Oryctolagus cuniculus: one gene and its partners. The protein of the gene in region 2 binds, or shares a complex with, the protein of the main gene of each other region. Links are inferred from orthologs where the notes say so. Each region holds a gene or a part of one and is shown on either strand. Other genes may lie near its edges. The genes, in order: NAA38, NAA35 and NAA30.

Evidence for each region.
Region 1: the proteins of NAA35 (region 2) and NAA38 are in contact, whole or in part, in a cryo-EM structure (PDB 7MX2), measured with the Homo sapiens proteins. The link is inferred for Oryctolagus cuniculus from reciprocal best matches to the Homo sapiens genes NAA35 and NAA38. Residues at the interface, in NP_001308810.1 of Homo sapiens: Val30, Asp31, Ile32, Thr33, Phe36, Ala39, Cys40, Leu43, Leu45, Glu47, Leu48, Leu49, His50, Asp51, Phe54, Glu58, Ala59, Ala62, Ile63, Glu64, Met65, Met66, Ala72, Gly73, Met74, Gln306, Arg307, Leu309, Pro310, Pro311; in NP_001307854.1 of Homo sapiens: Ala41, Arg42, Leu45, Glu46, Leu48, Leu49, Arg61, Phe67, Leu68, Cys69, Thr70, Asp71, Arg72, Cys74, Ile77, Arg97, Val98, Leu99, Gly100, Leu101, Ala102, Met103, Val104, Pro105, His108, Ser111, Ile112, Glu113, Val114.
Region 3: the proteins of NAA35 (region 2) and NAA30 are in contact, whole or in part, in a cryo-EM structure (PDB 7MX2), measured with the Homo sapiens proteins. The link is inferred for Oryctolagus cuniculus from reciprocal best matches to the Homo sapiens genes NAA35 and NAA30. Residues at the interface, in NP_001308810.1 of Homo sapiens: Leu45, Gly46, Leu48, Leu56, Ala59, Met60, Ala62, Glu64, Lys69, Glu121, Phe313, Pro314, Arg315, Ala444, Leu510, Glu511, Leu512, Glu517, Pro605, Lys606, Phe607, Glu608, Leu609, Asp610, Val614, Arg615, His618, Arg619; in NP_001011713.2 of Homo sapiens: Glu221, Pro238, Ser240, Tyr242, Thr243, Arg245, Tyr246, His249, Asn250, Lys304, Ile324, Glu334, Asn335, Leu336, Gly337, Val339, Arg340, Asp341, Lys342, Arg343, Phe345, Arg346, Tyr347, Tyr348, Leu349, Leu359, Trp360, Leu361, Arg362.

Annotation. Positions count from the first base shown.
Region 1 is NC_091448.1:52,403,550-52,409,386, forward strand, and holds NAA38 (N-alpha-acetyltransferase 38, NatC auxiliary subunit), read right to left. Parts: upstream 2,929-5,837; 5' UTR 2,702-2,928; coding exon 2,621-2,701; intron 2,424-2,620; coding exon 2,240-2,423; intron 2,076-2,239; coding exon 1,963-2,075; 3' UTR 1,916-1,962; downstream 1-1,915. Other genes in the region: TMEM88 (transmembrane protein 88), read left to right, coding at 305-514, 702-971; CYB5D1 (cytochrome b5 domain-containing protein 1), read left to right, coding at 3,317-3,476, 3,577-3,653, 3,777-3,995, 4,452-4,682.
Region 2 is NC_091432.1:144,533,925-144,540,692, forward strand, and holds the start of NAA35 (N-alpha-acetyltransferase 35, NatC auxiliary subunit), read right to left. Parts: upstream 4,492-6,768; 5' UTR 4,371-4,491; intron 3,683-4,370; 5' UTR 3,678-3,682; coding exon 3,554-3,677; intron 1-3,553. UniProt on the Homo sapiens protein: Auxillary component of the N-terminal acetyltransferase C (NatC) complex which catalyzes acetylation of N-terminal methionine residues. N-terminal acetylation protects proteins from ubiquitination and degradation by the N-end rule pathway.
Region 3 is NC_091443.1:19,392,552-19,399,368, forward strand, and holds the start of NAA30 (N-alpha-acetyltransferase 30), read right to left. Parts: upstream 4,489-6,817; 5' UTR 4,358-4,488; intron 4,067-4,357; 5' UTR 4,066-4,066; coding exon 3,265-4,065; intron 1-3,264. UniProt on the Homo sapiens protein: Catalytic subunit of the N-terminal acetyltransferase C (NatC) complex. Catalyzes acetylation of the N-terminal methionine residues of peptides beginning with Met-Leu-Ala and Met-Leu-Gly.

The DNA of each region.
Region 1 (5,837 bases), on a different chromosome or scaffold from region 2:
GAATATTAATATTAAAAATAAAAGAAAAAAAAACCACCCAAAGCCCTGTTTTGATAACGTGACAGCGGGGCGAGCTCCGGGCGGAGGGCCGCCTGGCCGTGATGGATGGGGACGCGCTGCGCAGACCCCGGCGCGGCGCCTGTGGAATGTCCAGCGGAGGCTCCGTGCTGCTCCTCGGGCTGGGGGGTGCCTAATCCTAGAACCGCATTCCAGGATAAGGGGGGTGGGAAGAGGCTGGGCCGGGGGAGGGGCAGGAAAGAGGGCTATAAGGGCCGCGGCCCAGCGGGCGGGAACCAGGCGGGCCATGGCGGATGTCCCCGGGGCGCAGCGAGCGGGGCCCGGCGGTGGCCCGGAGCCCCGCGACCCCCTGGACTGCTGGGCCTGCGCGGTCCTGGTGACGGCCCAGAATCTCCTGGTGGCTGCTTTCAACCTGCTCCTGTTGGCGCTGGTGCTGGGGACCATCTTGCTACCCGCTGTCACCATGCTGGGCTTCGGTTTCCTCTGCCACTCCCAGGTGAGCACGAGCCCCCGGGCGCGCGTGAGTGCGGGTGTTTAGTGTGCGGTGATGCTGTCTGCTGTCGGGGTGTGTGTTGGGGGTGGTGTCTCTGCGGGTCGCAGGTTCCGCCTGCCTGGGCTGCTCCCACCGTGTGCACGGCGTGGCCAGGGGCAGCGTGGGCCTGACGCCACTTCTCCTCCCACAGTTCCTGCGTTCCCAGGCACCCCCTTGCACCGCACACCTGCGGGACCCGGGCTTCACGGCCCTGCTGGTCACCGGATTCCTGCTCCTCGTGCCGCTGCTCGTGCTTGCCCTGGCCAGCTACCGCCGCCTCTGCCTGCGCCTCCGCCTGGCGGATTGCCTCGTGCCCTACAGCCGAGCCCTCTATCGGCGCCGGCGCGCCTCACAGCCCCGGCAGCCCCGGGCCTCGTCGGGGTCCCAGGCCGGTCCCACACCCGGGAAGGTTTGGGTCTGAGGACCCTCCACTGGAGAGCAGCCCCGGCGTCTGCGCTCCCTCCCTCTCAGCCCAAGGACCCGAAGCCCCTGGGATCTTCTGTCCTGCCCCGCCCCCACCCCGGCCTGAGCCTGGTCCTAGCCCCGCTTGGCGAAGAGCAGTCCCCTGGACCCGATGCTGGTGAAATGCTCGCATCCCAGAACACCCGCTTGCCTCCTGCTACGCACATCCGAATTCTGAACGTCTGGGCTGGACCCTGCACCGCCTCCCCCCCCCCCCCCCGCCCCAGCTCCTCTCGCTGACCACGAACAGGAGGAGCAAATCTTGTTAGTCCCCTCCTTTTCTGGTGCAGCTCCTCTAGCACTGGCCGAGCGGAGGGGAAGCAGTGACCACACATCAATAAAGCATTAATGAACTGAATGCGCTCTCCGAACAGAGGGGTGGCCCGAGGACTGTCACCCGGCCTCGTGCCCAGGAGCAGGAAATGAGTGGAGCGCCTGGGGCCGCACACGCGCGGGCCCCCAGCATCCTTATCGCACCGGCGCCTTCTTCCGGGCCAGACCCCAGAGCTCCGGCCCTGACTCCAGTCACCTCCCCAGCAGCAGAACGGTGGGGGCTCGCTCCAGGCAGCCTGCCTTTCTCCCCTTGGGGACCCGAGCCCGTTCTCTGACCCCAGCTCAGAGGAACTCCGTGCTGCCAGGCCGGGCTGGGAAACAATGGGCTTTCCGGAGCAGGATGACGCCCCCTCCCTCCGCAGTCCTGGGAGAGCAGCGTGGGCGGGAAGATGCAGGGGCCCAACCCTGGGGCCTTGCTGGTTTACAGCTCGGTCCGCTCCCCACTCCCAGCCCTGAACTTGAGGGAAGCGTTGCCACTCTTAAGGGTGAGGGCTGACAGTGCTCGGGGCTCCGGACCTCAAACCCTCTCCTCCTGCCCTGGCGCCCCCGCTACACACAGACACGGGCCACTTCGGTCATGGGTTTAATGAAGTCTGCCAAGGCGTGCGCGACTGTGGTCAGAGATACGGAGGCCCCGCCAGGCTCTCCCTCTGCACCTCAATAGAAACGATGTGGTGTCCGGGTACCATGGCCAGGCCCAGCACACGGGGCTCCCCGGCAGAGAAGGAATCTGGAAAGAAGGGTGAGAGCATCAGGGAGGCAGGCCGGGGGCGGTCCCGCCCCTCCAGTGCCACGAAAACCAGGGGCAGGGGGCGCAGCCAGGCCCTGCAGGGGGGATGCCTTGGTGGAGCTTCCGCCGCTTGGCGAGGCGGGCGTGCGTTTCCGGGCACTGACCCGACGGCTTGAGGAACTCCTGCGCAGAACCCAGGATGACATTGCAGTCGCGGTCCGTGCAAAGGAAGCAGCCGACCAGCGTCCGTCCGTCGGTCATGCGGATGCGCATAGTCTTGTTAAGCAGCGCCTCCAGCTGCTGCCGGGCGCGCGCAGCCGGCGAGTCCTCCCGCTCCCCGTCCGAGTCCTGGGCGGGGCGGGACGCGCGCTCACACCCCGCGGCCCCGGCTGCCCGCCCGCTCGCCTGCGGAACCACAGCTCCCGGCAGCCCGCGGGGCGCGCACGCGCAGCCCGGAGGCTGCCGGGAGCTGGAGTCCCCCCGCCCTCGTACCCCATCTTGCAGCCCGACAGCCCCTCGATCCCAGAACCCGAGCCCGCGCTAACCCCGGCGCTGGAGCTGCTCTGACGCCGACTGCAACAGCCGTTCTCCTCGCGTAGCAGCATGGTCGGCCCAGCTCCAGCCATTGGCCCCAGGGCCTCCTCTGGGCCCCTAAACTTCCCCGGAACCTTTCGGGTCCGGTGCTGTGAGATCTCGCGAGCGCTCTCGACCTTTTTCCTTTCGCGAGATCGCCTCTCCCCCGCCGAGTCTCCGCGGCACCTGCCGGGATCTCGCGAGCTTTCGCCCGCTTCTCCAGCGCCGCAGGCTCACAAGATATCGCGAGAGGTTTACCTCTAGCCAGCCTTTGGGAGCCACGTGACTTAGCGAGGCTGCCTTCTTTCGTGCTGGCCTTCCTCACTTTATGTTTCTGCCTCGGGAGACAGTTCGTCCTAAACATCTCGTGCAGCACAGGCCATTGAGTTTAGATGAAGTGTGTTCGCTTTCTCTCGGAACTAACTCGATTGCTCGATACAATGATCGGGACGAGTTCAGACTACGTTTCCCAGGAGCGCACGCAGCCCAAGCCCCGCCTCGGCTACGGTGGGTAATCTCAGGCTACGGTGGCCGGGAGAGGACAATGGTTTCCATGTCAGCGGACAAACGCACTCAGCTTAGCTCCTGGACCAGCGGGAGCAGGCAGTAGTTTCTGCTGACGAGCGAGGAAGCCACAAAAGGGGCCGGCGACCAGTAGGGCGAGAGCCATGCCGCGCCGGGGCCTAGTGGCCGGGCCGGAGTTCGAGTATTTCAAGCGGCGCTTTTTCACGCCCGCGGAGGTGGCCGAACATAACCAGCCCGAGGACCTCTGGGTGTCCTACCTAGGATACGTGTACGACCTCACGCCGTTGGCAGAGGAATACAAGGGTAAGGGCCCCGCGACGGGCCGGGGTGTGTGTTCTTTGCGCGAGAGGGGTGGTGTCCGGTTCTGGGGTGGCCGGCGCTGACGGCAGCTGCCCCTTCCCAGGGGACCTGCTGTTGAAACCCATCGTGGAAGCTGCGGGCCAGGACATCAGCCACTGGTTTGATCCCAAGACCAAAGACGTGAGCTGTGCTGGACCTCGGGGCTGGGAGGAGGGGCACCGGAGAGCTGGGGTGGGGAGGAAAAGCGGGGGTCCCCTGAGCCTGCGCCGCTGACCCCCCCCCCCCCCCGGCTTTGCTTTAAAGATCCGCAAGCACATAGATCCGTTGACGGGCTGCCTGAGGTACCGCACCCCGCGGGGCCGCTTTGTGCACGTTCCGCCTCAGCTGCCCCGCTCGGACTGGGCCAATGACTTCGGGAAGCCCTGGTGGCTGGGCTCACAATACGAGGTGGGACGGCTGTCTCCCAAAACCCGGAACATCCGCATCATTAACACGCTCACGTCGCAGGAGCACACGCTGGAGGTGAGAACTGGTGCCGGGGACAGTTTGGAAGGAGCTGGGGATCCCGCAGACGTTCAGGCTGTCCGTGCCCCAGAACAGCTGGGACTGTTTTCCCCCTTTACCCTGAGGTGGCTGGGGGAAGCAGGCTGCGTGGGCCCCAGGGCGGGGGCCTGTAGGGTGTCCGGCTTGTGAGGCTATGAGACGGCTTCCTTCTCGTGCCGGGACCGCATTCTCGCAGCCAGGGACGGTGGGTCTTGGAAACTCCTACACTGCTGATTTGGACGGCAGTCCAACGTTATTATTAGCCTACTCTGATGCAAGCAGGCAGAAAGTGAGGGGCTGCTGGCTTGGACCCTAAATTCAGGGCCACCTGAGAACTGTCTGCTGTCCAGACAGGTGGGCCTGTGCGCCCCCTCCTTGCATGCTTTCCTCCTGAGGCTGTGGTGCCAGGGCTGGGCTGCTTCCCTGTCTCTCCAGGTGGGGGCTCTGGAGTCAATGTGGGAAATCCTCCACCGCTACCTGCCCTATAACGTACATGCAGCCAGCTACACGTGGAAATACGAAGGGAAGAATCTGAACATGAATGATACCCTGGAGGAGAATGGGATCCGGGATGAGGAGGAGGAATTTGACTTTCTCAGCATGGATGGTTCGCTCCACATTCCTGCAATACTGCTCTACTTCAATGACGACCTCACAGAGCTGTAGGAAAGGAGATTATGCTCATGTGGACTCGACAGATCTCGAGTCTGACTTTTTCTGTGCTGAGGAAAAGAGGTGGGGAGCCTGGGCCTAGACCCCCTCACCCCTCTGTGGTCCCTGCTCTTCCGAAGTGTGAAGCTGCTCCCCAGCTCCACCACCAGGTGCTCTGAGGGAATCGGGGAGAATGCCAGACGTGAGCAGATGTTTAGGAAAGACACAGGAAGGCACGGTGTCTTGGATCAGGGAGATCCAGGAGTCCGAGCTCAGGTAGGACGTTCTGATAGAAACAGAAAGAGGAGTGCCACACAGGGACGAGGGATGGAGGACAGCTGTGGCCATCATGGAGATGGGACAGCAGTAGAGATGGGATTTACAGACAGGGACAGAAATGGCCTAGCGACCACACAGAACTGGCTTCTCTCCCTTCTGAAGAGCATCCGGCTCGCTCAGACTAGATACTGTGCTGGGGACATTATATTCCCCAATATAACTACCCCCAAAAGTGGGCATCCTACTGCTATTTTATGCATAACTCTTCTGAAACCCAGAAAGACTTAATGTCATTATGGCATGTTAGTTAGGGAGCGTCAGAGCCGGAAGGCGAATCCAAGACTTCCCAACCCCAAGTCTGAGCTCTGTTCACTGTCAAGGGACCGTCTCCATGTCTGTCTTCACGCCAGCCTCAGAGCACTCTCTGGGACACTGGCTTGTTTAGGCTTCGTGCGCACTGGGGAGCAGTTACCGTCTCCGTAAGGGAGCTCCCCAGCGGCAAAGGCGAGGCAGTGAGGACGGCCAACTACTTCCTTGTTAGCCTCAGCAAAGCGCCTCTCCTGAATTTCTCTGGGCAGAGGTGGGTACTCACGGACTCAAAAGCAAGCTGCAGTGGGGGAGAGCCTGTGCACTGGGACGCTTCGGTGAGCAGCTTCTCTGACGAAGGGCCCTGCACTTAGGCGAGGGAGACGGGGTTGACTGTGAAATGCTGACTCCCAAAAGGAGGGGCTAAGTCAGGCAGAAAGCTCTCCTGGTGGCTGAGAGAGAACCTCTACAGGGGCCACAGTCACATCTGGTTCCCTTTAACCCTGGCAGCAGCAGCAAGAACAGAAGTGCGGGTTCAAGTCCCAGCGCCGTAGTTCTGATAGAGCTTCCTGCTAATGCGCCTGG
Region 2 (6,768 bases):
GCAACCGTGTATAGCAACCATGTATTCCCCCCTTCCCAGTTTTGCGGTTTTTGCCTTTATAAACCCTAACCTTTGGTTATTCGGGGCTGCTCTGTTCATGTATGATCAGACAGCCCCAGCATGCTGGATAATCAATAAAGCTTCCCGTTGCTGTTTGCATAAGAGATGTCTCTTGGTGACGTTTTTCGGGCAGTCGACTCTAACACTGCAAAGCTAAGTAAGACCTGTTCTCCTAGTAGAGGCAGCCTGTAGGGTTTCCCCCACCCAACAATAAACCTCCTCTACTCTGGTGTTTGGTGTGTTTCATGGTGACCTATCACTACCTACAAAGCCAGCATTCCATATGGGCACTAAATGGAAGGTTCGAGTCTCGGCTGCCGAACTTCTGATCCAGCTCCCTGTTAATGGCCTGGGAAAGCAGTGGAAATTGGCCTGAAATGCTTGGGCCCCTGTAACCATGTGGGAGACCTGGAAGAAACTCCTGGCTCCTGATCAGCCCAGCTCCAGCCACTGCAGTCATTTAGGGAGTGAACCAGAGGATGGAAGATAACTCTACTTTTAAAATAAATAAACTTTAAAAAAATTAATTCTATATCAATGTGTCAGTTACATGTTGTGCCACCTGACAGTGCAAAAGCTAACTATGGAAGAGTTAACAAGCAAGCAGTGGAAGATGGCCCATGAATGGCATGATGTTAACAACAAAATGACAAGCCACCTCCTCTCAATCCACACTACAGAAGGGATTAAACTTGATCTCCCACTCAAGGTTCCTTCCACAAAGAAACTGAGCTCATTTATGACATAACATGAAGCCAAGCAAAAGCATCTCTCCCACCAGTATTCTAATCTGCTTTCTTGGATTCAATTCTCGCTACAACACAAAAAATTAGGAGATATACATAAATGAAAACAAGAAGTGGGAATAAAGTTAGAGGGCCTCTCAAGTCACATATTTAGTTCGGCCTAAATGCCGCAGGCCCATGATCTTCAAACCGCAGTGTGTGGGACCCTGGGTGAACATCATGTCTCAGGGCACTCAGAGGCACAGGATAGCTGCCTAATGTTTTCAAATCTAACACAACGATTTGAGAGCCAAGAACCTATAGCATAAATGGACACACACAATGCAAAATGCAAACTTTTCCATAATTTCTAAGGTAAAGCAGGAAATCATAAAGCTACCTGTGCTTAGAAGGAGATGCTCTGAAGTCTCCCCCAAGACTTGGGAAGGGGAGGCTGAGGAGTGTACGCGCTCACTCTCCTGTACTGTCACGGAGAGAAACATCGCAAGGCACAACACTCCTCAGCTCCTTTCACCACCCCAACACTTACTAACTGGGTCTCATGAACTTTTCTTTATTCTCATATGTAACCCTTCTACTCCATCCTGCCACTATCTTAGACCAAAGTCCTAACATCTCCATGTAGACTAAGCGAAAAAACTTGTCTAAGGTTACAGGCCCTCTCTCAATCCATCTCAGATTATGCTGGGAGACTGTCCTTATTTTAATTTTACTGAATTAAACAAATCCTATGAGTAAGAACAACTAGCACCACCGTCCACCAAGTACTTTACATCTACTATCTCATTTAATCACTCAGACTATAAAGTAGCTCTACTTCACAGAGGAGAAAAGACTGCTTAAATAAACCATCCACAGTTACTGAGCTAATGAGTGGCAAAGGAGCTGGAATTTCAGCTCATGTCTCACTCAAAAGCTTACTATTTTCTCAGAAGTCACACTGTCCAAGTCACTGTACCAAACATGAAGGGGAATACACTTCTAATCTTACGCTCAAAACTCTTAGATTTCCAACCGTCTATAAACTGAGCTAAAACTTAAAAAAGCACTGCCGATCTACAAGTCCCAGCACTGCAAACCGCTTTGTAGCCAAGCAAAACTCTTCTCTATTCCTAAAACATGAAACTCTCATTGAACTCTGGCTCATATGGCTCATCTCAGTCTGGGGTAAGTATTTAAAGAAACCCAACCTCTCCCTCAAGACCCAACTGAAGCCATATATCTTTCGTAGAATCTCCCTTCATAATGACAGCCCTCTAATACAGGACTCTTGAATCAGGACAACATGAAAGGTCTGAACCACTTAATGGTCAAAGATCTCCAGGCACAAAACTACACCTCGTTCTTTCTCCCTCAGACACATATATAGGCAGTCACCCAATTCCCAGTCTACTGCTGTTCCCACCATCACACCAAGGCGTTTAACTGAACCTGTATTACAAGGGGCTTGTCATACACATGATTTATCACTTTGCTCACACTCAGCTGGCTCCCGTTCCACCTGCTACTGCTCCCCAGCCTTTACTTCTCTCCTTCAGAGTGCATCTCACCGTTACCAAAAAAAAAATAAACTGGGGAAAAGAAGAAGCCGTCAAGTGTGCATCCCTCCCCATCCACGTAGAACTATGAGGGTGCTTCAAAAAGCTCATGGCATTCAACAGTTTACTTTGGTGACCAAAAAAACCCGAAACCCATGCGCACGCATTTTCACAGCATGCACTCTGCCTGCCCTCTGGAAGACTCCCACAGGAGTCAGCTGTACATCAGCCCCTCCAATCTCAGGGTGTCCCTGTGCCTTTCCCCCAGCTTCATCTTCCCACCACGTCCTTGCTTCCGTCCTTCTTTTCAATTCTACGCTCTCAATGTCTTATTTGTTTCTCTCTCTTATCTTCAGTCTCTCCCTAAGGCGCCTTCCCCTCAAACATGCTCACTTGTCTCATCATTAATTCCCAGGCGTATACTGAACTATGTGCCAGGCATTGCTCTGTGGGGTAGGGTGACAGACAGGATCTCTGAACCCAGAGCTCACCATCTAGTGGATGGGGCTGACAACAAACAACAAACCCCTGAACATGAAGGCTCCTGACAAATGTGAGCACCATGAGGGAAACAAAACAGGGGTTTCCGCTGAGGTGAGGTTGGAGAAGAAAATGAGGGGGTGACTCTGCTCAGAGTGGTGTGGGGGTGACATTAAAGGGGCAGAGGAGGAGCCTGGCGCAAAGTAACTTAAGACAGAGAACACACAGTATACATAGGAACCACGCTGATGTGTCTAACACAGAGATAGGAAGGACCTCGTGACTGGAACAGGAGCCTACGGGGGCAGTGGTATGAAAAGGCAGGCTGAGCGGCAGGCCCGGCCAGGTCTTCCAGCCTGGGTGTTACTCTACCCGCAACAGGAAGACACTGCAGGGAGTTACACGTCCTGATCATTTCCAAACCTCAACTCCGCAACAATCCCACCACCTTTCAGGCCCACGTAATTAGTAGTTCCACAGTTGGGAATGATTGCTCCTACTCCGTTAACTGCCTCACCATCTGTACTGAATTTATGTCAAACACATACTGGCTTCAAAAGAAAGGTCAAATGAGAGGGTCGAGTGCAACTGTGCATAACCAGCTTGATAAACCACATTTTACCTGTTGATTTCACTTCATTTCCTGGGACACGCTGGGGAACCACGGTCATGTTCTTTTATGCTTTCCCAGACTTTGAACTTCTACTCACCCCAAAAATTCGAACTCACCTCGACAAGCTTCTTCAAAGTCCTGAGTTATGTCCACCCAGCTCGTGTTGCTCTTCTCCATCTTTTCCGGGATGCGGAGTTCCCAGCCTGAATCATCTTCATCGACAGCCGCTTTCATCACCATGACGCCTGGAAAAATTAACAGGTGTAAGAGCATGCAGCTTGCAGGGCAAGAATAGTTGCAAAAAAAAAAAAAAAGTGTGTGTAAGGGCTGGATCAAAGTCTCAGAAACTCTTTAAGCACAACTCTAAAGTCTGTAAGCGCTACTGCAAAAAAAAAAAAAAAGCAAAAAAAAATCACGTTTTATACTATGATCAACGTTCATTAATACTACTTCTGCCCACTTCCTGAGAGCCACCATTGAGTTTGCCTTGCCACACAACCCCGACCACTAGCTCCAGAGGCCCCTCCCCGCGGCCCAGGACCCCCCAACCCCACCCCCGACGACCACCACTCCAATCCAGGCACCGTTCCTGGGCCAACAGCCCCGCGGGCCGCGGCGGGACCCCGGCCCCGCTCGCCGGGCCCAGGGTGCGGGCGCACCCGAGGCGGGCACTCGTTCCGCGGCCGCCGCGCCCGGGGCAGCCCGGCCCAGCCCTACAGGGCGCCGAAGCAAGGACAAGGGCTGTCGCCGCGCCGGTCGTCGGCCCCGGGAACAGCGGGCGAGGCCAGGGCCTCGGCGGGCAGCCGGCGCCGCAAGGGTGACCTGACGTCCCCGGGGTCCGCCAGACGCCCGGTGTGGGGGGGTAGAGGGCCGCTGCTCTCCTTTACGCCCGAAACAAGGGGGTCTCAATGGCACCCCAGAGGCCGCCCATACCTCCTTCTCCCGTGGCCACCCGCGCCGCCACGCACCGTCCGGACCACGGAAATAACGACGCCCCCGTCCCCTCCCCGCTCAGCCCAGCCCGACCGGCAGCGTGCGCGCATGCGTACGCCCGGCGCGCGCGACCCCGCCCCCTCTCCCTTACTCCCGGGGACTTTGCGCTCCCCGGCCACACCCCCTTCCTCGCTTACAGCCGCGGCTCGACTGATGGCGGCCATCTTCTCTTCTCGCGGTATTAGAGCGAATCGCGAGACCGGAAGCCCGGGCCGAGTCCCTGACGGTGCCTGACGGGGGCGGAGCCTCAGCCGTCAGAGCCCGCCCCGCCCCGTCCCGCAAGGCTCCCTGGGAAATTCTTCGAAAGGTGACGCTGGGGCGGATGGAGGCGGTGAAGATGTGCTTAGACTTCGGTGCTTGCCGGCTTGAAGGAACGGCGCCGCTCGGAAGCCCCGTCGGGTCGGGCTGCGACTGTTTTCTGGGAGCGGCGCCTGCGGAGTTCCTGAGAGGAAATTAGAAATAAATTCCTTGCGGAGCCAAGCCAGCCATTTTCTTCCGGACTGCCACATGACTTAAGAAGTAATTTTTTTTTATTTTAATTTTTTAAAAGATTTATCTATTTAATTGAAAGAGTTATACGGCGAGAGTGGTCGGTTTATTTATTTATTTAAGATTTATCTATTTATTTGAAAGAGTTACACAGAGTGGTCGGTTTTTAGATGGGGTTACTGTGACGAGGTGGGCGCTGGTAGGGCGCCCACCTTGACCACCGTCTGCCGGTCAGAGTGGCCAACATGAAGACGGCAGGACAGCTGGGTCTCTCCCGCGGCTTCGGAGTGGAACAGCCACTCGGGAAAATTCCTTATTTTCCTAGAACCACATCCTTGTCACATGAATGGTAATTCCACTCCCAGGTAGTTACCTGGGAAGCAAAGCCTACATCCACACGAAGGTTTCTACATTAATGATCATAGCAGCTCTATTATTATTTTTTTAAGATTTACTTATTTATCTGAGAGGTACAGTTACAGAGAGAGGGAGAGGTCATCCATCTGCTGGTTCACTCCCCAGATGGCCGCAACGGTTGGAGCTGCATCCATCTGAAGTCAGGAACCAGGAGCTTCTTTAAGGTCTTCCACACGATGCAGAAGCCCAAGGACTTGGGCCATCTTCCACTGCTTTCCCAGGCCATAGCAGAGAGCTGGAATGGAAGAGGAGCAGCCAGGACACAAACCAGCGCCCATATGGGATGCCGGCACTGCAGGCGGTGGCCTAACCCGCTACACCACAATGCTGGCCCCCCTCATTTTTCAGTCTTATGTTTACTTGAGAATACACAGTAATAACGTTATAAAATTGTTAAAATATATTATCCTCTAAACTAATTATCCTCTGTATGTTTATATCAGCGTTTTAAATATGGTGTTTTGTTTTCTGACACATTATTTTTAGACATTTCTACTATGAATTGCTACTAATAGCCACTGTTAGCTAGTCTTACTGTTTTGTTTAAATAAAGGCATTTTTGAAACAGAAAACTACTACAAGGGCACTTTTGAAAAGTTTGAGGGAAATGGAATTTAAAGATGGTTTGGGTGCATAAATTTCATGACAAATGTGCATTACAAAAAATGCATGATTTAAAATTTTCTGCACCAAAACAAGCCTATTTTCCAAGGACTTTCAGCGTACCTGTGAACAGGTGGGCATCGTGTAGCAGATTAGGCTGTGCCCACATCCCATCTGGCAGTGCCTGGGTGGAAGTCTTGCCTGTGTTTTCAACCCGGCTTACTGCTAATGCACATCCTGGGAGGCAGCAGATGAAGGCTCAAGTGACTGGGTCCTTGCCACCCACATGGAAAACAACTTGAAGTTCTTGGTTCCTGCCTTTGGCTTGGCCCTATCTGGGTTGTTGTGGGCTTTTGGGGAGTGAACCGGAAGATGGAAGATTCATTCATTCTCTCTCTCTCTCTCTCTCTGTAACTCTGACTTTCAAATAAATAAGTAAATCAAAAAAAAATTGGGTGGAAATATGAAAATATTTATCAAAAGCATATCCTCCAGCCGGCGCCGTGGCTCACTAGGCTAATCCTCCGCCTAGCGGCGCCGGCACACCGGGTTCTAGTCCCGGTCGGGGCACCAGATTCTGTCCCGGCTGCCCCTCTTCCAGGCCAGCTCTGTGCTGTGGCCAGGGAGTGCAGGGGAGGATGGCCCAGGTGCTTGGGCCCTGCACCCCATGGGAGACCAGGAAAAGCACCTGGCTCCTGGCTCCTGCCTTCGGATCAGCGCGGTGCACCGGCCGCAGCGCGCCGGCCGTGGCGGCCATTGGAGGGTGAACCAACGGCAAAGGAAGACCTTTCTCTCTGTCTCTCTCTCTCACTGTCCACTCTGCCTGTCA
Region 3 (6,817 bases), on a different chromosome or scaffold from region 2:
TCAGTCTTTTCTGATCCGAAAATTCAGATATGTGCATGGGTGTGTATACACACATACATATATGGCACACACATATGTAAACTCATCACAAGCCAAATGGTACACTTAAAAGAATCAGAAAAATGTTGGGTTTGTGTGAAATGAAAATCTTAATCTAGGATTCCAAACTATAGGATAGTTATACCTCCAAGTTAAAAAAGTCATCCAAAAAAGACTAAAGCCATGAAATACAACTGGACAGAAATTTCAAACTGAAAACCATTTCAAACAAATCTTTATCCTTTGACCCTGGAAGAAATAACAACTAGTTTTAGGCTAGATTTATTTTTTCCTAATTAAGAATCTATAGGAGCAAAAAATCAAGATGCATACATCATCTAAAAATAACAGGCCCAATGAATGATACACTGTTATTAATATCACCTCTGGCAGTGAGGAAGGTCAATACCATATTTTTCCCTGATAAACTGCAGATGAATAAACATTTGCAAGAACCAGCCAACTGTCTGTCAATTTTTTCCAAATAAAAGCTTCTGCAAGCCCGGGAAAAGCAGCGGAGGATGGCCCAAGTGCTTGGGCCCCTGACATCCATGTAGGAGACATGGAAGAAGCTCCTAGCTCCTGGCTTTGTCCTGGCCCAGCCCTGGCATTTGTGGCCATCTGGGAAGTGACCCAGCAGATGGAAGACCTATCCTTTTTCTCTGTAAATCTTTCAAATAAATAAATCTTAAAAAAAATTTAAAAAAGCTTCTGTACATACATATGAAACTCATTCTATTTAAATATTTTTTCCCAAGGATGAGAACTGAAAAATCTCTAGCAAAATTAAGACTTAACTCTACAAGACCAAAGGCTTGCCAGCCTACAAAACCATGAAAAATAAAAATTGTGTGAAATAGATTCCCAAATATAGAACACTGAAAATAGAAAACTGGAGGAAGCTGGGAAGTTAAATTTAGAACAAATGAACGGAAGTACTGTATTACATTGCTGATAGTAAAGTTTAAGAACTTCAAAAACGCACTAACACCTGAAAATGCTGTGACTCCAAAGGAGGTAAAGACAAATTGGTTCGGTACAGGGTAGATGGCACCTCACATTTCCACCATCCTCTGTTTTCACTTCTGTTGCAATAATTAGAATTACAGGAATTGTCATTTTTGTCAATCAAGTATTGGCAATTTCATAAAGTTCAATCTCATATATTCCATTTGACCCATTACACGTTACACATGGAAACCAGAAACATTTTAGAGGTTTCCAATCTCATGAAATAGATGTTTCTAAGGGAAACTACCCTTTGGTGAAGATAATTTGGTAACACACAATGATCTGTACTACATAGGTTAATGGTATGCCATTTTTCAGGTCAGGAGACCAGGGTTTGAGCTTTGCCTGGGAATTTAACCATTTTGAGTCACTCTGATCCTTAAATGTTTTATACAAGGAAAAAAAAAAAAACACCACAAAGTTGGGCTAGACTAGAATCCCTTTCAGTTCTAAAATGATATGAAATAAACATTCACAATTTAAAAACTTAGTTCTCACATGAAATTTAAATTAAAAATATGCCAACATGAAGGCCTCAGTTCTAAATGGCCCGTTTTAACTAATGTTTTATTGTGCAATAAAATACCTCCAGATTCATTCTTGTACTAGTAAATCTTACAGAGGTCAACCACTTGTGCATATCTCAACTTCTAGACATTCAAGATTTAATTTTCAACTTTGGCTATAAAGTGCTAAGGTACAAATCAGTTGATGAATTTGGAGGATTCTATATACAATCAAGGCTAAAGTTTACTAACAATAAGCTTATCAGAGTCTAAAATAGCAGACAAGCTGAGAAAGGTCCACATACTATGAGGACTCAAATACTGACTAAATAGCATATATATATATTTATATATGCAACTACTTCCTGGAATTGATGGAAAAACATCTATTTCAATTTAAAATGTGATTCAATTATACACTTTCGCTGGACTGCTGCACAATTAAATCAATCTACAATTTTTAGCGATTACAATGGTATTTAATGACATTTATAATAGTGCTATAAATCATTCTTCTATATTCACTGACACAGACATGTCTTAGAACTTCTATTTTGATACAAGGTTTAGAACCCTAACAATTTTCTAGACTATAAAATAATACCTAGTTTAAACAAAGGTATTAAACTGAAGTTTGTGTAAAATTAACACAGAAAATAGCAGAACTATCACTACCTTCAATACCCACATTATATTTTCAAATTACCACGAAGCTATAGAAATCAGAAAGATTTAAGTACTGTCACAACACACTGCCAGGATTCAGCAAGTGACACTAAGTCCACGTTCAAACAAACCAAAAAACACATCAGTGGTGACTTTTCCCTTCACATATCATAAAATACTCCTTAAAAGCACGTTCTTTTTAGTCAAACTCAAGGGGAACAATGTTTGTGAGTACATGGTAAAAAGCATATACCTGCAGCTAATATTTAAGTTTCATACAGACTGAGACTGGGTCAACAGCTCTGTGAGGAAATTACTCGCACTGTATTATTCAGCTTGTCTAATATCAAGTCTTTTTCACTTTCATATAAGTAAGAAGAATTTCATCACATAGAGCCAATACAAGCCAGGGTTAACCAGTGTTTAGGCCCATCTATGGCCAGTTTCTTAAAAAAAAAAAAAAACTCAGAGTAGTAACAGTTTCACACTCAAGCTTCCTGCATTTCACAAAAGGGCATTTTCGCTCCAGTTTCAGGAGTCTTTCGGGAACCGAGTGTTAGCACCTCTGCGATGGGGCACGGGGAAGCGGGCTGGTGTGGCGGTAGGGAACAGGCACAGGCCTGGAGGACCTGCGGCCGCACAGCATCCTGTGCACACACTCAGTCCTGCCGAGGGCTGCGCCCGACCAGGGCCACGACCAAATTCAACGCCTGTGCTGAGGGAGGGCAGCTAAAGACAGTTCACCACGACCACACACTGTGAGCTCAGGTCCACGGGACACGAGACCCCCGCCCCCACCCCCGGTGACCACCACGCAGCCCACAGGTGCGGCGCATCTACATCGGTCCCAGGCCAGCCCGGGTGGCGAGGTCTTCCCTTCGAAGCGGCTCCGTGCACTCGCTAGGAAGCGTGGACACGCACTGCACATCCCGTCCGCCACCGCGACACGCAGGGGCGAGCGTCCACGCGGCCCGCACACTCCCTGCCCCGCGCCGCCTGCACCTGGCTGTGGGAGCACCCACGTTTCCTTCCGTGCACTTACCAAGAAGCACAGCTGCGGCCAGTTGTGGATAAAATATCTATAAGTATAAATGGAGTAGGGTTCGGACAGATCTTTGGTGATCAGTCTCATGATATCGGGCATTTGGAGCTCGGATTCGTATCGGACGTATCGTATCGTCCGATCCTCCCCGGGCTCAGCCTCCCTGCCCGAGGGGCTTCTTAAGCTGCAGCCTGCGGTCAGGGCCGAAGACAGCAGCCGCACCTGCTCGTCTTCCTCCTCCGGCTCGGGCTCCGGCTCGGGCTCCGGCTCGGGCTCCGGCTCGGCGCCCTCGGCCAGTCCGTTGCGGGCCGCCGCCTCGGCCCGGCTGGGGAGCGCAGTTCTCGCATTCCTGGAGAGCGAGCGAGGGGGCCTCTCGCCCGAGGGCACCCCGGTTCCTTTTGTTGCAGTCGCTTTGGAGCCCGTGCCGCCGGCGGCCGCCTCGGCTGCACCCAGGACCTTGCTCTTGAGCGAGGCGGCCGCCCGGAGGTGTCGCAGTTCGGGGCTGATCAATCCGTTGAGCTGCTGCTGCTGCTGCTGCTGCTGCTCCGGCGGCGGCTGAGGGCAGCGGAGGCACGGAAGCCCCTTGGCCGCCGCCGCCGCCGCCGCCTCGCCGCCCGCCGGGCTCCCGCCACCGCCGCCGCCGCCGCCGCCGCCTTCGGGCTCCTCGTCGTCTTCCTCGTCCTCGCTGCAGCAGGCGAGCGCGGCCCCCGCCGGGAAGGGGCAGCGGGGCTCGGCCGCCGCCGGGGCCGGAGGTGCTGGAGGTGGGAGGAGGCTGCTAGGCCCAGGCGGTACCTCCGCCATCCTAGAAGCGACACAGACCGAGAGCGGAGGCCATGAGACGCTGTCGCCCAACGCCGGGCGGAGGGGACGGCAGGTGGGGGGGCGGCACGAGTGTGTGTGGGGGGGAACAAAGGCAGAAACCGTCCCTCACGGCGCTGCCGCCCCAATTCCGCGCCGCTCCCCCCCAACCCACCCACCCTTACCCACCCCGGGCCCCTCAACGCCACCCCGCAGCCCAGCCGCCGCTGTCCGCCAGGGCCCAGACGCCAGCGCTGTCACCGCGGCCCCTCCCCGACCCCTCCTGGAGGCTCACCCCGCACCGGTCCCCGCCGCCGCCGCCGCTGCCGCCGCCACTCAGCCACCACCGCCGCCGCCTCCCTCGCCGCCGCGGCCGCCGCCACCGCCGCCAAGGCTCTCACTCAGCAGCCGCCGCCGTAAAGCGCCTCGGCTGTTACCCCGGGTAAAGTTTCCTGGGCCTGGCTTTACGACACTTCCCTGCCTGCCGGCTGCCGGGCCGAGGGAAAGGGGCGGGCGGGAGGTGACCTGTGCGAGGGGCGGGGACGAAGGTGTCCCCGTGCGGGCTCGGAGGGCGGCGGCGGCGGGCCGGCGGGTGGGGTTACGGGGCGGGGAAGTCGCGGTGGGCCCCGGAGTCGCCCGCGCCGCATCCCTGCTCGGGGTTTCTGGGGTGCGTCTACGCGGCCAGGCGGGGCCGCTGTTCAGCCCGCCGCCCCGGGCCTGCGGATCCGGCCCTTTTACAAATCACCCAAAAAATGTTTTTCCTGAGCTCCGCGTTTTGTAACTTTAGCCCTAACCCGGGGCCGTGCGGTTGGAAGGGAAGGGGTTTAAAATGGAGCGCATCCAGGCAGCAAACGGGAGGGGAGAGGGAGTTGGGGAAACTTTGTGAAAATGGGAGGCTTGCGGCGGGGATTGGGTTGACCCGGCCTTTCCCCTTCTGAGACACGGGAACAGGTATCGCCGCCCGTTTCCTCGGCCGCTGCTCACTGCCTTCCCCCGGCCAGGGGAAGCTGGAGGTGAAGTGTGACTGACAGGTGCCGGGCAGCCCAGGCGTGCCCGGGGCGCGATCCCAGCAGCACGGTGCGAAACGCGGGACGCGACGTGTGATCGGTGGGCAGCCCGGGTGCAGGGGTGTCCGGCCGCGGCCGCCCACGTGGCCGGCCTGGCGCGGTCAGCAGGGAGAGAAGCAAGTGCAGCCCGTGTCTGTGTACTCCTCTGCCTGGGCCGAGAGGCAAGCCGACAGCGTTGACCCTCTAGCGCACAGAGCAAAGTAAGTTTGTAAAAACTGGTAGGGCCGGTCAGGTGCTACCAGCGTGCCACGGGTGGACATTTTGAGGCTAGAATTCTGAGAGTGTGTGCAACTTCTTGCTGTAACCTAAACTGTGCAGGCGGAATACACTGTAGCGGGACTGTTGTGAGTCTTAGAGTTCGTGTCCCTGGAGATGATAAAGGAAAACGCTCACCTTCCTTGGAGAGACTCACCTAGAGAGATAGTCATGAAATGTTTTCTATGCGCCAGACACAGTTCTGCTTGTCTCATATGCATTTATTAACTCCTTTACAGGGTTGTATCCTATCAAAATATCGACATTTGTGCACAAAGAGGCATATAGGAGCACATTCATTTATTTTTTTAAAGATTTATTTATCTTATTTGAAAGTCAGAGTTACACAGAGAGAGAAAGAGAGGCAGAGATAGAGAAAGAGAGAGAGGTCCTCCATCCGCTGGTTCACTCCCCACTTCGCTGTAATGACCAGAGCTGCGCCGATGAGAAGCTGGGATCCAGGAGCTTCTTCCTGGTCTCCCACGCAGGTGCAGGGGCCCAAGGACTTGGGCCATCTTCCACTGCTTTCCCAGGCCATAGCAGAGAGCTGGATGGAAAGTGGAGAGCCCATATAGGATGCCAGCACTGTAGGTGGCAGCTTTACCCGCTACACCACAGCGCCAGCTCCTATTTATTTATTTTTAAGATTTATTTGAGGGCAAGAGTTACAGACAGAGGGAAAGACAGAGAGAGATTTGCTCCCCAGATGGGCACAATGGCCCAGTGCTGGGCTGATCTAAAGCCAAGAGCCAGGTGCTTCCTCCAGGTCTCCCACGTAGGTGCAGGGGTCCAAGCACTTGGGCCATCTTCTCTTTTCCCAGGCCATTAGCTGGGAGCTGAATCAGAAGTGTGCCAGCTGGGACTCGAACCAGTGCCCATATGGGATGCCTGCACCGCACCTGTAGGCTTAACCTATACCATAGTGCCTGCCCCAATTTCAACCCTGTTTATGACACAGAAAAACTAGTTCCAGACCACCTACATGTCTATGAATATAAGAATGACTGAACATACGATTCAGAAATATTATAGAATATTCTGTTAATTACATTGGTTAAAAGATGAAAATATACACAAAAGGGTACTTCACAGACTTGTGGGACCCAGTCTTAGACATCATGGTGTACTGGGGCAGGCATTTGACACAGTGTTAAGATGCTGCTTTGACTGTGGGGGTCTCATCCCAGAGCACCTGGGTCTCAGCCCCAGCTCTGCTTCTCATCTTAGCATCCTACTAGTGCTGGGGGGCAGCAGGTAATGACTCAAGTTCTTGGGATCCTGCTATCCACATGGGAGATCCAGATGCTGCTCTTGGCCCCTGGCTTTGGCCTGGCCTGGCCTCGACTGCTGCAGGCATTTGGGAAGTGAGCTAGTACATGGAAGATCTCTATACCTTTCAAATAAATTAAACAACAACGACAACAAAATGCTTT